3 linked regions of the Oryctolagus cuniculus genome follow. The protein of the gene in region 3 binds, or shares a complex with, the protein of the main gene of each other region. Links are inferred from orthologs where the notes say so. Each region holds a gene or a part of one and is shown on either strand. Other genes may lie near its edges. The genes, in order: CIPC, BMAL1 and CLOCK.

Region 1 (4,267 bases), on a different chromosome or scaffold from region 3:
TGCACGCTGGGAACGGTGTGACGTCATCAGCTTGTAGTAAGAGAATGCACAGACAGCTGCCCAGCGACTAACGACAATAAACTTCACTCCCTCCAACCCCAGAGCAAAAGTCTCAAGGGCTGTAGGCTTTTTCTCCGTTTTTAGTTACTTTTTTTTTAATGTAAGCTGTCAATCATTTATTGGCGGAGCTTAAGCTAAGCAGACACCCTCATACTCAGGACTACAGTAGCATCGTCGGTGTCGGGGTCTTTCGTGACCAGGACCTAGTAGCGCTTAACAAAGCGTGGGTGACCACCACAGGACAACTTCCCAGCACCTGGGTCCGCACGTAGCCAACCTAACTTTCTGCCATGCTGGGAACGTGAGCTCTTGAGACGCGGCGGGTGCTACTGAGAAACGGAAATTCTGCATTTTCAGCCGTTTCAGGGCTCCCCGTGCTTAGTGACTACCGTATTTACTGGACGAGCGCGGCCGGCACCGCCTCGTCCCGTTCTCCCCGCACCTGCGAACGGCTTCTTCTCGGCTAAGCCACCCTCGCTGACACAACACACCCGAACTCCCGGCGGCCTCAAGCCCTCTTCGCTTTGGCCGTTACACGTGTGCTCGCACTAACACCGGGGGCTGGCCGGAGAAGCCGCATCCCTGGGAAGCCCGTCTCGGGCAGCCGCACCGGACAAAATGAATCAAATTGTTAGGGTCGAGAAACGTCCACCGCCCCAGGAACGACTCCAAGAGACACTCGCATGCAATCAGCAAGGGGTTTATTCCGACCAGCGTGCTGGGGCTCTCTGACCACGCAGGAACAGAGCAGCCCCGAGAAGGCAAGGGTCAGGGTTTTTATAGGGTTTTCAGAGACCTATTCCACCTCACACCGCGGGAAGCTCATTAGCAAATCAACTCACACCGCGGGAAACTCACAGCACGTGCGGGGAGTTCAAAGGACATCTAGAATTATTAACGGCTATTAACGGCGGGTGAGGCAAGGGTTACACAGCTTCGGCCCCTTATCCTCACACAGGTGCAGCTGTAAAGATAAGGAACCGAAATTATACAACCCCCGCCCCACAGGATTTCAGCTTTGGGGAAGGAGGTTTGGGCCTGCAATTTTCTAGCTCAATTTCTTCAAAATATCCAACGACACGATCACGCAGTGAGAAGCCCCTCGAGAGTAGGTCTCGCGAAGCATGGTCACAGGGGTGGACGGGAAGACAAAACAACCCCTCCGACAGGCCTGGCAAAAACGTGAGCCGCCCGCGGGGAGGTGGGGACCGCCCCGTCACCCCACCCGCCTGCTTACGCCGGGCGCGCCCTGTCCGGCCCCCAACAATAACAACGTCCTGGCTGCACATACTACAGGGGAATGAGCCCTTGGTTTCCCTCGGGAGTCAGGCATCCCGCCATAACCGGCCCAACCCCGGCTCCCCGGAATCCCGTACCACAACCACGCCAGAGCCGCGAACGGCTCCACGCCGCCGTACAAAATGGCGGTCGCGCCTCAGGAACCAACCATAGAGACGTCCGCCCGCCGCGGAGAGAGCGGCGACGTCCCCGCGCGCCTTCCGGCAGAGGCGGAAAGTGAGTTCGTCTCCAAGGGCTCTTCTAGGAAGGTGGCGCGCAGTCTCTATGGTGCCGGGTCCTCCGAGCCGAGTCACGTGGTGGGGAAAGGCGTCGCGGAGGCGCGGGGAGGAGAAATGGGCGGGAGGCCGGGGGGATAGCAGGAGACCCGGCGACGACGGGGTTGTCATGGAGCCTTGGGGCTGGATTCGCGCATGCGCCACCTCACGCGCTGGGCCGGTCGTGGAGCGACCCTGGCCCTAGGTGAGAAAGGGAGGGCTGGGCCCGCGGGAGGAAGGCGGGGATGGCGCGGCGGGGGAGGGTTTGGGCGAGGAGAGCGGGGAGAGAAGGTGGCGGTAGAGGACAGAGGAAGGGGCGCGAGGTAGGCGCGAGGGCGAGCCGGCACTTCGGGGGTCGGAGGGTGCGCCCCCGCCCACGTAGTTGGTTTCGCTGCGAGGGGCGGGGCCTGCGAGGAGGGAGCCGTGTGCGGGGAGGGGGCTTGTGTGCGGGCCCAGGGGTAGCCCTAGGCGTCCGGAGCCCGGAGGCCTGTCGGGCTCTGAGCCGCGGGCCAGGGATGGACTGGGGAGTGGGTGGCAGAGCTGCAGCCTGGGGAGGGGGCTGGGCCTCCAGTGTGGAGCTGGGGGCAGTGCCCGTTCGGGTTCCAGGGCGCCGCCGGTGTTCTGTCTGTCTCGCAAGGACCGGCTGCCTCCCACTGTGCTGGTTACTTCTCGGGGTGGCTGGCTAGCTTGCCAGTCGTGGTGCCAGGAGTAGGGGCGTGGGGGAGGTGGGCAGTGCGGAGGAAGGAGTTGGTGGTGGGCTGGAGGGGACCCAGGTCCCGGCTGTTGCCGGGGCGTTTGCCGTGGGAGGCTGGTGTGCCAGTCGCAGCACAGTCGCAGGGTCTGCCCAGTTCTGCCCTGCGGAGCTGGCAGGCTCGTGGATGCCCGGAGGGTGCACATGCCGCCTGGCACAGCCGCAGCGTGGGCCGCTGCGAGGGGAGAGGCGGCGAACCGCCCGGCGCGGGGTTGGAGCGGTCTCCCCTTGGACAGGTGGGCGTGGAGAGCAGTTGTCTGGGCTCGGGGCTCAGGGTCCCTGAGCTTCCAGCCCGGCTGGAGAGTTCAGTGAATGTGGTGGTGTAAGATTTAGGTAGATGGGGCTTTTCCACCAGTAAAACACGTTCTCTCCCAGAACGGGTGTCTCGGAGCACGCACGCGGAGAGAACTGGAACGTCCTTAGAATACTAAGCCGTTTTCTGGGTGGCAGCCTTGTTGAAGGTGGCTTTGTCACTTTATTGTGTTTAAGCTTGGGCTCTCACCCCACACTTGTGTCCATGCACGCATGTTATACACGTGACGCGTCTTAAAGGGAGCTCGCACTCCGAGGAGCCCTGCCAAGAGTCTATAAAAGGAGAGATCTGAAAGCCGCATTTCGGGCCCTTTCCTTGTAACCTCGGGTCTCCCTCTCGTCCTGAGCTCACGTCTCCTCGGAGATGAGGAATGTAGATCGGAGGCTTTGTTGCCGAGGTCTCACTTAGGAGGAAGGGGAGGTGAGATTATGTTTCCTGCGGAGGACAGGACCTGGAAGTTGGGTGTGGAAGTGACCGTGGGGCTTGGACAGGCAGGATCTTGACCTTCGAGCCGTGTGAGCATTTCAGGGAGCCAGAGTTACTGTGCTGTTGGCTTCCTCGCACGTTCGTGCTGGGGGCTGAGCTCGCCACAGTGGAAGAACTCCGGAGGTTGGGGAGATAAACAGACCAGTGTAGGGAGTGCATGTGGCATGGACGCACGAGCCTGTGTGAAGTGTGTGTATTTAGGAACCTGTTCTGTGCCCTGCATCGCGCTCGTGGACTGTGGTGGCCGTGGTTTTGTTTGGGAACGTGTGTTACTTGTACACACACAGGAGCCCGGTTAGGGCTGGTGCTGACAGCGTGGGAGCGCCAGTCCTTGGGACACGGAGTCCCGTGCATGGGGCGTGGGATGTTTGGAAAGCCATGTGCGTGCCAGGAAGCAGAGGTGACACAGGGTGAGAGCTTAGGAACCAAGCCATCTCCAAGCACCTGACTTTGAAGTACTGCTGAAGAGGGAAGGCTTCGGGTGTTGCCATTTGCCCTGCCCGGGGATTGAGGGCACCGGCAGTGACCCCTGTGCCCAGGGCGTCACGTGCTGCCAGGTGTGCGTGGGTCCTTGTTCCTGGCTAATTGGCACCCTCAGCCCACTGGAAGTGCCGCTCCTGCCGCTCTGAGCCCACGGGAGCCGCCCTGGCTGGCACTGAGCACCTCTGCTGCTCGAAGAGTCGTCAAAACAGCGCTTTCCTATTTTCAACCATTTTCCCATCTGAAATCACCAGTTTAGCGCTCTGGAGGAGATTATACCTTGTTTGTTTCCAGCTGCCCAGGCTCTACAATTTTAGCATCTGTTCTCCACTTAAGCGGTTTGTCAGCATTTCAGAATTTTGATTTCACGATCAGAATTAACCTGCAGGTTCGCAGTGAGCCCCAATGAACTCCTGTGTCTTTTCTATAGCTCTGTAGGCTGCACTTCAGTAACAGTAGCGGGACGTTATTGACAGTGAGACTTACAGAAGACGCTTTATCTGAAACACCTGTAAGATAGCTCATGATTATAATGTGAAATTTTACCGGGTTCTTTTTTATTTTCTTTATTTGAGAGACAGAGAGGGGAGACAGAAAGAGAGACCTGCCATTTGCTGATTCCCT
Region 2 (3,599 bases), on a different chromosome or scaffold from region 3:
GGGCTGGCCAAAGAAACTCTGCCCCGGGGAAACCAAGACACCTGCGTGGGGACGGCTGTCCTAGAATGCGGCCGTGTGAGCCATGCTCTAGGAGCAGTTTGTGCCCATGAGGTTTCGTTGTTTGAAGGGCCCCGATCCCTCCTTGGCTATGGAGAAAGGAGAGAAATCCAGGTGGCAGTCAGTAGCCTCCTCATAACAGGCCAGGAGAAGCGGCAGGGCTGAGCTGGGGGGATTTGGAAGTCCTGCCTCTGGGAATGTTGGTCAGCTTCCTGCTGAGCCACAGGGCGTCAAAAGCTTGTGTTTCTGGGGCCTGTGAAAGGCAGGCAGATCTTGCCGTGACCTCAGGACCCTGTGCAGCCCCCAGCCCCACTCCTCCTCTCCATCCCGATTCCCAAAGCCTAGGATTCCTACCCAGCTGAGAGGCAGACGTTTGGGAGCAGGGCCTTTGAAACACTGCCTGGGGCTCTGTTCAGTCCTTCTCTGTTAGTACTTTCATTCCCCTCCTCACTTCACCCCTCCCCTCCAAGTAGATACCTATGCACATGTGTCTTTGACGCTTGACATGTTTTGCAAATAGAATCAGCTCCATTTATCCAGAATGCTGGAGGAATGAAATGTTGTAGATATTTGAAGAGTTTCTGTAAACACTATATATTCTCAGTTTTCAAACAGGATAAGGTAAAATTTATGTTAACACCCAAACTCTATAGAGACTATATATAATTTTATTTCATAATCTGGAAAACCATTTCAGGTACTACAGTAAGTTCAAGTTCATTGTTCTGTCTGGTTTGCTATTATCCATCATTAATCAATACTTAGGTTACTTGAGCTTTCTGGCATTTGGTTTCTGGATAAATGAGAGCTTTCTGTATGACAGTGAACTATTCTGTATGTGTTCATTGACACACAGTCACGTTCTGTCTTGTTTTTCCAGAGAAAGCATGGACACAGACAAAGATGACCCTCATGGAAGGTACCACAAATTTGGTCATTTGAACTTCTATATCCCTGTAGCTGTTTTCTTGCATGGTTACAAACTATATAACATGGAGCTGGTTCCTCCCATGTCCTTGGTTAGAGAGAGCCTGTAGGTTCAAGGCTGTCTCCCAGCATGCCCCCTCCCCAATGTGAGTAACAAGTGAGAGCCCCCGTGTGCCTGTAGAGAGAGGACAGGGGCCAGGCAGGAGGAAACAGAAGTGCATGGCGGCCATCCCCCGCCCCCTCTTCTCCCGCCAGGGGATTGCATTTTGATCGTTTGCATTCTCCCCTCCAGGTTAGAATACGCTGAGCACCAAGGCAGGATCAAAAACGCGAGGTGAGTTTGGACTGCATTTCTTCTACCATCTGTCCGGGTTCTGGCTGCGGTGCACCGAGTGCTTGGTCCCTGGCATGTCTGTATGTCCTTAGGGAACAGGGGAGTGGGGAGTGGGTCTCCACACGCCATCACCTTCTGCCCTCTGCTTTCTGCCTTTTCTGACTAAGCACATTCAACCTAAAGGGGACTTTGGAGGTGGCAGGAAGTCACTCAAGGCTGAAGTCTCCCTCCAAGTCTTTAGCAGATTGCTCCTCCCTGACTTGAGGGCCCCCGGAGGAGGTACAGGGTGAGGATTCCACTTCTAGGCTGCGCCTTGCCTTCTGCAAGGGCCCTTGCTGCACTTGTGGTCCTCTTCCGGTGGAGTCCCAGTGCCCACCTGAGGCTGTGTCGTGACACACACAGCCAGGGGCTGCACAAGTTGGCTGGCCTAGTATCTCTAGCGGTTGGTTCCGTGGGTGTGTAGCTGCCCCTCAGAACCCCTCAGAGGAAGCCCGGAGACCCAGATGCAGTGTCTGAATGCTGAACCATGAATGGAGGCACTAGTGCCCAGGGACCTGTCCGGCTCTGAAGGAAGTGATGTCACCCACAGGCCACACTGCCCACTCCTCCTGGACCTCAGATACAGCCCACCAGGGACTAGGCCCTTGCTGTGGCTGTTCTGGGAAACCTCCACCTCCCTTCTCTCTCTTTCCATTCCCATCTCCAAATCCTGTTTACAGGGGCTGGGAGGGGAAGCAATGAGGAGAAACTAATTGAGTTTGCTCAAAAGGACAGTTTATGTAATTCTCTTCCGTGATCCTAAGGATGAGCTAAGCACAAGAAAACTGGTACCGACCTGGCAGGGGGACCGTTCTAGGGGCTGACTTGAGTAGAAAAACCTGATTGGAAACATTGTGCAAAGTCTGAATTGGCCTTATCAAATGAATATTGAAAAGTTACAGTTCATTTATTTTTGTCTTCTTGTTGCCGCTGGGTTCTGTTTCCTGAAAAATCGCTGTCCGCATTGGTGTGTTCAGAGAGGCTCACAGTCAGATTGAAAAGCGGCGCCGGGATAAGATGAACAGTTTCATTGACGAGCTGGCTTCTCTGGTTCCCACGTGCAACGCCATGTCTAGGAAGCTGGATAAACTGACTGTGCTGAGGATGGCCGTTCAGCACATGAAGACGCTACGAGGTGAGACCCTGGGCTTGCTTCACTGTCCTTCTGTCCTTGTTCACAGATGTTACCCACCTCGTCTAGAATGTTCCTCAGTGCCTAGGTGCATATTGATTACATCAAAATCTGTAGCCATGAGGTAGTTACTGAGCCCGCGTGGGTCTCGAGATGCAGTTTTGCAGGTCGTGAATCTCTGGAGTGTCTAAGGCATGTGTCGTGCGTGTCTCCAGGTGTGCCTGCCACTGGGCCACGTGCCTATCGGGACCCTGCGGAGGTCCCATCTTGTGTAGATGTGAGTGCCCCTGGATTCCACCTCAGCGGTGGTATAAATCAGAAACGTAGGTGCACACAGTGACACACAAGAGGCGCTTTCCGTTTTTCAGAGAATAATTTGTTCCGGTTCCTTTGTGGAGTGAGCCACTGATGGCGCCTGCTGCGTTTGGTTGTCAGGGCGGAGCACTGCTGGTGTTCTCATCTTCCTGGAATTTTCCCCGACCAGGCTCACTCTGTGAGGGAGGCAGTAGCTTCCTTCTTTGCTGAGTGTGGGGAGGGTGAGAAAACAGAGGCAGGAAAGTGGAAGTGACTTTTCCAGATCGCAAGAGAAATCTGAAATGTATCGGGCATTTCAGTGACTGCTGTTCTGGAATTTTCCATAGCTAGTCTTGGACGATTGGAGGAAACTGGGAAGTGGACGCTCATTCTGACCTCTGACCTGTGTCATAAAAGAATTTGTCTTTAAACTTGCACAAGGCCAGTGGAAATAAAAAGCTGATTTTGTCTGACTTCTGATCATTATTCAAAACTGTAAATGCTGTATCCTGTGCTCAGAGAATGGCATTTAAAAGTTTATGTCAGCAAAGGCAATGAGTTAAATTATTTATTAGAAACTAATTTCTATTAAAATGAAAGAGGAAAGTGGCAAATCTCAAGCTATACTCAGAAGCAGAGCTATGGATCAGGAGTAGAGGCCCTGAGTTAGTCTGTATGAAAGTCACAAACACATGGAGTTGATCACCTTCCCACCTACTCTGAATTGTTATGCGTCCATTTCATCCTAGTCCTTCTCTATTCCACCCGCTCTCTGCAAGGCCAGGTCTTTGGCTGCTGGCATTTTGCCAGGTATCG
Region 3 (3,599 bases):
ACCTTAAGGATAAGAACCAATAATGCATTCATCCTTTGATTCCACAGCTGTGGCACTGTAGGCAACCCAAGGCTTGTGAGATTACTTACTGTTGATGAAAGGAACATACAAGAGTCAGCAAGTCACTGGGCTTAACATGTCAGTTGCCCTCTTGGGGGTGGGGGTGGGTAGCATAAAAGCAAGGCTTCTGACAGTGGAATGCAAGATAGATGCCAGGAAAATATGAAATAAAAAGAAAGCACCTATTGGACAACCGAAGTGATACCACATTTATTTAGCATGAGACCAGACTTTGTGTATGCGTGCCGCTGCTGGCGACGGTCGTAAAGCTATGACTTGTGGTCCAAGAATTTTCTGATTAAATTTTAGTCATGTTGTAGTTTAATGTGTTCGAAGTTCGTGGAGCTTAGCTTTGCAAGTCATGTGTCTGGCTTGGAAGGTCACAGTGATCGTGAACCTGATGACATCGCCATCAGAGCCATGAGTGCACTGTTACGCCCTAACTTCTCAGCCTTGTTTCTGTGGGATCTGATCTGTAACTTGACATTTGTTGGTTATCTTACATAAATGAAAATTAACCCTGTACCCTGTTGTTTAATAGTGATGATACACTTTTAAGATAAATATCTTAGGAATCACAGATTTATTTTGTGTTTAAAATTGTTTTTCAGTCTGATCTTGTGGATCAAAGTATATTTAATTTTATCCCAGAGGGGGAACATTCAGAGGTTTATAAAATACTCTCTACCCATCTGCTGGAAAGTGACTCGTTAACCCCTGAGTACTTAAAATGTAAGTAGTAGCTGTTAAACAGTAGTCAGATATTCTGCTTGGTAGCATAATCCTTTCGTTTTCAAGTCTGTGGAGTTCAAGATCAAAGTGGGGGTGGTAAAAAGTCTTAATTGACTTGCTTATCTGCTAGGTAAACAATCAATAAGCAAAAAAATGTTCTTTCAGGAAGAAAAAAAGATGTTTTATGCCAAAGATAATAAATGAGTTAAAACAGAAAACTGCTTTAGAAATCTAGTAGGTCATTTTGGCCATAGTGAAGGTGAGGTGGTATAGGAGTGTGATTTGTGTCTAGGGAAGGAAACAGGCAGAATTAGAAAGGCAGATCACTCAGGTAAGAAATTTGCAATAGGACTAAATTGGGAACAGAAAGGAAAACTGTATAATGTTAGCCATGGAAGGGGAGGCAAGTGTGTGAGTGTTAAGGAAGTAAACTCAGTAGGACTTGATGTCAGGCACAGGCAACCAAGTGACTGAGGATCATTGATGGGAAAGGGTCTGGGGCAGAAGCAGATTTTGAACCTCTGGAGTTAGATAGAACCATCTGTAGTGATAATGGCAGAGGAGTGTGAGCTTGGTGTAAGTGAAGAGAAGGGTTGCTAGTCCTTGAGTGCTGAAATAACCTGACACGGTGGGATTCGACTTACAAGTGGTTGGCAAGGATGCGTCAGCGTGGCCAGAATATGGAGGCATAATGAGAACACGGGGCAGTTACCTGGGTGCAGGGTAGTGTGTGCAGCATTGAGCTGGTGGCAGTGAGGGCTTGGGAGAGCTTCCTTGTGAAATAAATAGCAGATCCTGGACACATTATATTTGAGACTTGTGATGGGAAGAAAAGCCACCAAACTTACTTAGTTTCCAACTTGGGGAATAAGTGCACGTGGAACAGCTGGCTTGGGAAGAAAGATTCAGGTATTTTGAGTTTAAGCTCCTATGGGGACAGGTGAGTGAAAAAGCTGTGACAGTAAATCGTGGTGTGAGAGTGTGTCCTGCTTGAGATAGCGGAATTGGGAGGAGAGGTGTCGTAGTCAGCTTGCAAAGAAAGCAGATCAGGCGCAGAAGAGCGCTGTCCGCAGGCAGGGAGAGACCTCCGCCGTGGTGAAAGAGGCAGAAGCAGTGAGGAGAAGCTGTTGAAGGTGATAGGACACGTGTTAGGTACCGAAGGAGTTGCCGCAGAGGGGTCTGCGGGGCAGCCCCCGGTGTGAGCCGAGGAGAACTGAACGTGCGGACACTGGAGCCCATAACGTGAAGCCAAGTGTCTGGGACCAGAAAGCTCACCATGAGCAACCCGTTGTTGGAGGTGGAAACTGAGCAAATTTAAGACTAGAAAGGACCCACAGGGGAGAATGTGCAGGTGCTGAAGAAATGCACGGCCTCATCGTGGCCCTGGTCCTAGGAAAGGCAGGAAAGATGGCAAGGTGTAGAAGGAAACAGAGCTGGAGTGAGGAGGAGGAGGGACAGGTGCAAATGGGGGCACGACGTTGCTTGTGCAGGTGAGGTCACCTCCTACCTACTAAAATGTCATTGAAAACTCTGTTAAGGGAGATAATGACTATAAAGTTTGCTTTTAGTCTTATTTTGTGTGATATTTGTTCATTGTCCAGATCACAGAACGACTTTTCAAAATCTCTCATTTCAGCAAAAAATCAGTTAGAATTCTGTTGTCATATGCTTCGAGGAACAATAGACCCAAAGGAACCATCTACCTATGAGTATGTGAGATTCATAGGAAATTTCAAATCTTTAAATAGCGGTGAGTTAAAATGCCTCTCTTTCCAGTGTGTTTTAACTTGATATTATTTTTCTAGCTCTTAAAGACTTAGATGTTTGGATATCAGTAACAGCTTTTGTTGGAGTAACTGATCATAGCATTTCTTCACTGTTTAGTATCCACTTCAGCACACAATGGCTTTGAAGGAACTATACAGCGCACACACAGGCCTTCCTATGAGGATAGGATTTGTTTTGTAGCTACTGTGAGATTGGCTACGCCGCAGTTCATCAAGGTATGTTTCTAGTTTCATTTCCCAGGGAGAATTTCAGTCCACATTATGTAATTTTTTGTTTTCTTTACAGTGGCTGAAACCTCATATAAACATTGAAGACTGTGAGACATTGAACATGCATGATCATGATTTTTTTGAAACATAAGTTATCAAGGCGCTCATTAAATTATATAGCTAATTTCTTAGTGTAAGTTCTTTGCAGTTCACCAGTGGTTGTATGTCACTGTTGACCTACTTTTGTGCAAAATTTTCTTAGGTTTTTGTGACTAATTCACTGTCTTCATTAAAGGAGAAATCCAAAATAACCTTGGTAATTTTTTTAAAGATTTATTTATTTATTTGAAAGAGTTACAAAGAGGCAGAGAGAGAAAGAGGTCTTCCATCTGCTGGTTCACTCCCAAACAGCCACGATGGCTGGAGCTGAGCTGATCTGAAGCCAGGAGCCAGGAGCTTCTTCCAGGTCTCCCATGCAGGTGCAGGGTCCCAAGGACCTGAGCCATCTTCCACTGCTTTTCCAGGCCATAGCACAGAGTTGGATCATAAGTGGAGCAGCCAGGTTTCGAAGTGGCACCCATATGGGATGGCGGCACTGTGGATGGCAGCTTTACCCACTATGCCATAGCACTGGCCTCCCCTGATAATTTTTTAAATACTGGTTTTCAGATTTGTTTTTGGGAATGTGTAAGCAGCTTTTTACTGCACATAATTTACCTTTTCAGTTCTAGAATTTAACTGAATCATTTAGTAGGGAAGTGGGAAAGTGAACTAGTTCAACCCTAGAAAGTGGCTGGGAAGAAGCCAGGT

What was found.
Region 1: the proteins of CLOCK (region 3) and CIPC are in contact, whole or in part, in a crystal structure (PDB 5VJI), measured with the Mus musculus proteins. The link is inferred for Oryctolagus cuniculus from reciprocal best matches to the Homo sapiens genes CLOCK and CIPC. Residues at the interface, in NP_001276755.1 of Mus musculus: Gln519, Leu526, Lys527, Leu530, Arg533, Ile537, Asn540, Ile541, Arg543, Gln544, Glu547, Leu548, Ile551, Gln554, Leu555, Val558; in XP_006515773.1 of Mus musculus: Asn401, Thr402, Val405, Leu406, Ser409, Leu411, Ile414, Thr415, Thr418, Leu421, Ile422, Asn425, Thr428, Gln429, Leu432, Leu435, Lys436, Thr439, Gln440, Phe442, Ile443, Thr446.
Region 2: the proteins of CLOCK (region 3) and BMAL1 are in contact, whole or in part, in a crystal structure (PDB 4F3L), measured with the Mus musculus proteins. The link is inferred for Oryctolagus cuniculus from reciprocal best matches to the Homo sapiens genes CLOCK and BMAL1. Residues at the interface, in NP_001276755.1 of Mus musculus: Arg46, Gln49, Phe50, Leu53, Ile54, Glu56, Leu57, Met60, Leu61, Pro62, Lys70, Ser71, Leu74, Gln75, Ser77, Ile78, Phe80, Leu81, Arg82, His84, Lys85, Thr88, Glu95, Ile96, Gln98, Asp99, Trp100, Pro102, Phe104, Leu105; in XP_030097882.1 of Mus musculus: Lys70, Met71, Phe74, Ile75, Glu77, Leu78, Ser80, Leu81, Val82, Asp93, Leu95, Leu98, Arg99, Ala101, Val102, His104, Met105, Lys106, Leu108, Arg109, Gly110, Ala118, Tyr120, Lys121, Pro122, Phe124, Leu125, Asp127, Asp128, Glu129.

Annotation. Positions count from the first base shown.
Region 1 is NC_091451.1:22,865,576-22,869,842, forward strand, and holds the start of CIPC (CLOCK-interacting pacemaker), read left to right. Parts: upstream 1-1,461; 5' UTR 1,462-1,575; intron 1,576-1,591; exon of another isoform or gene 1,592-1,818; intron 1,819-1,820; exon of another isoform or gene 1,821-1,936; intron 1,937-2,059; exon of another isoform or gene 2,060-2,600; intron 2,601-2,940; exon of another isoform or gene 2,941-3,097; intron 3,098-4,267.
Region 2 is NC_091432.1:52,850,042-52,853,640, reverse strand, and holds part of BMAL1 (basic helix-loop-helix ARNT-like protein 1), read left to right. Parts: intron 1-937; coding exon 938-976; intron 977-1,276; coding exon 1,277-1,318; intron 1,319-2,334; coding exon 2,335-2,492; intron 2,493-3,599. UniProt on the Homo sapiens protein: Transcriptional activator which forms a core component of the circadian clock.
Region 3 is NC_091439.1:109,034,347-109,037,945, forward strand, and holds part of CLOCK (circadian locomoter output cycles protein kaput), read left to right. Parts: intron 1-671; coding exon 672-792; intron 793-2,428; coding exon 2,429-2,542; intron 2,543-2,676; coding exon 2,677-2,795; intron 2,796-3,599. UniProt on the Homo sapiens protein: Transcriptional activator which forms a core component of the circadian clock.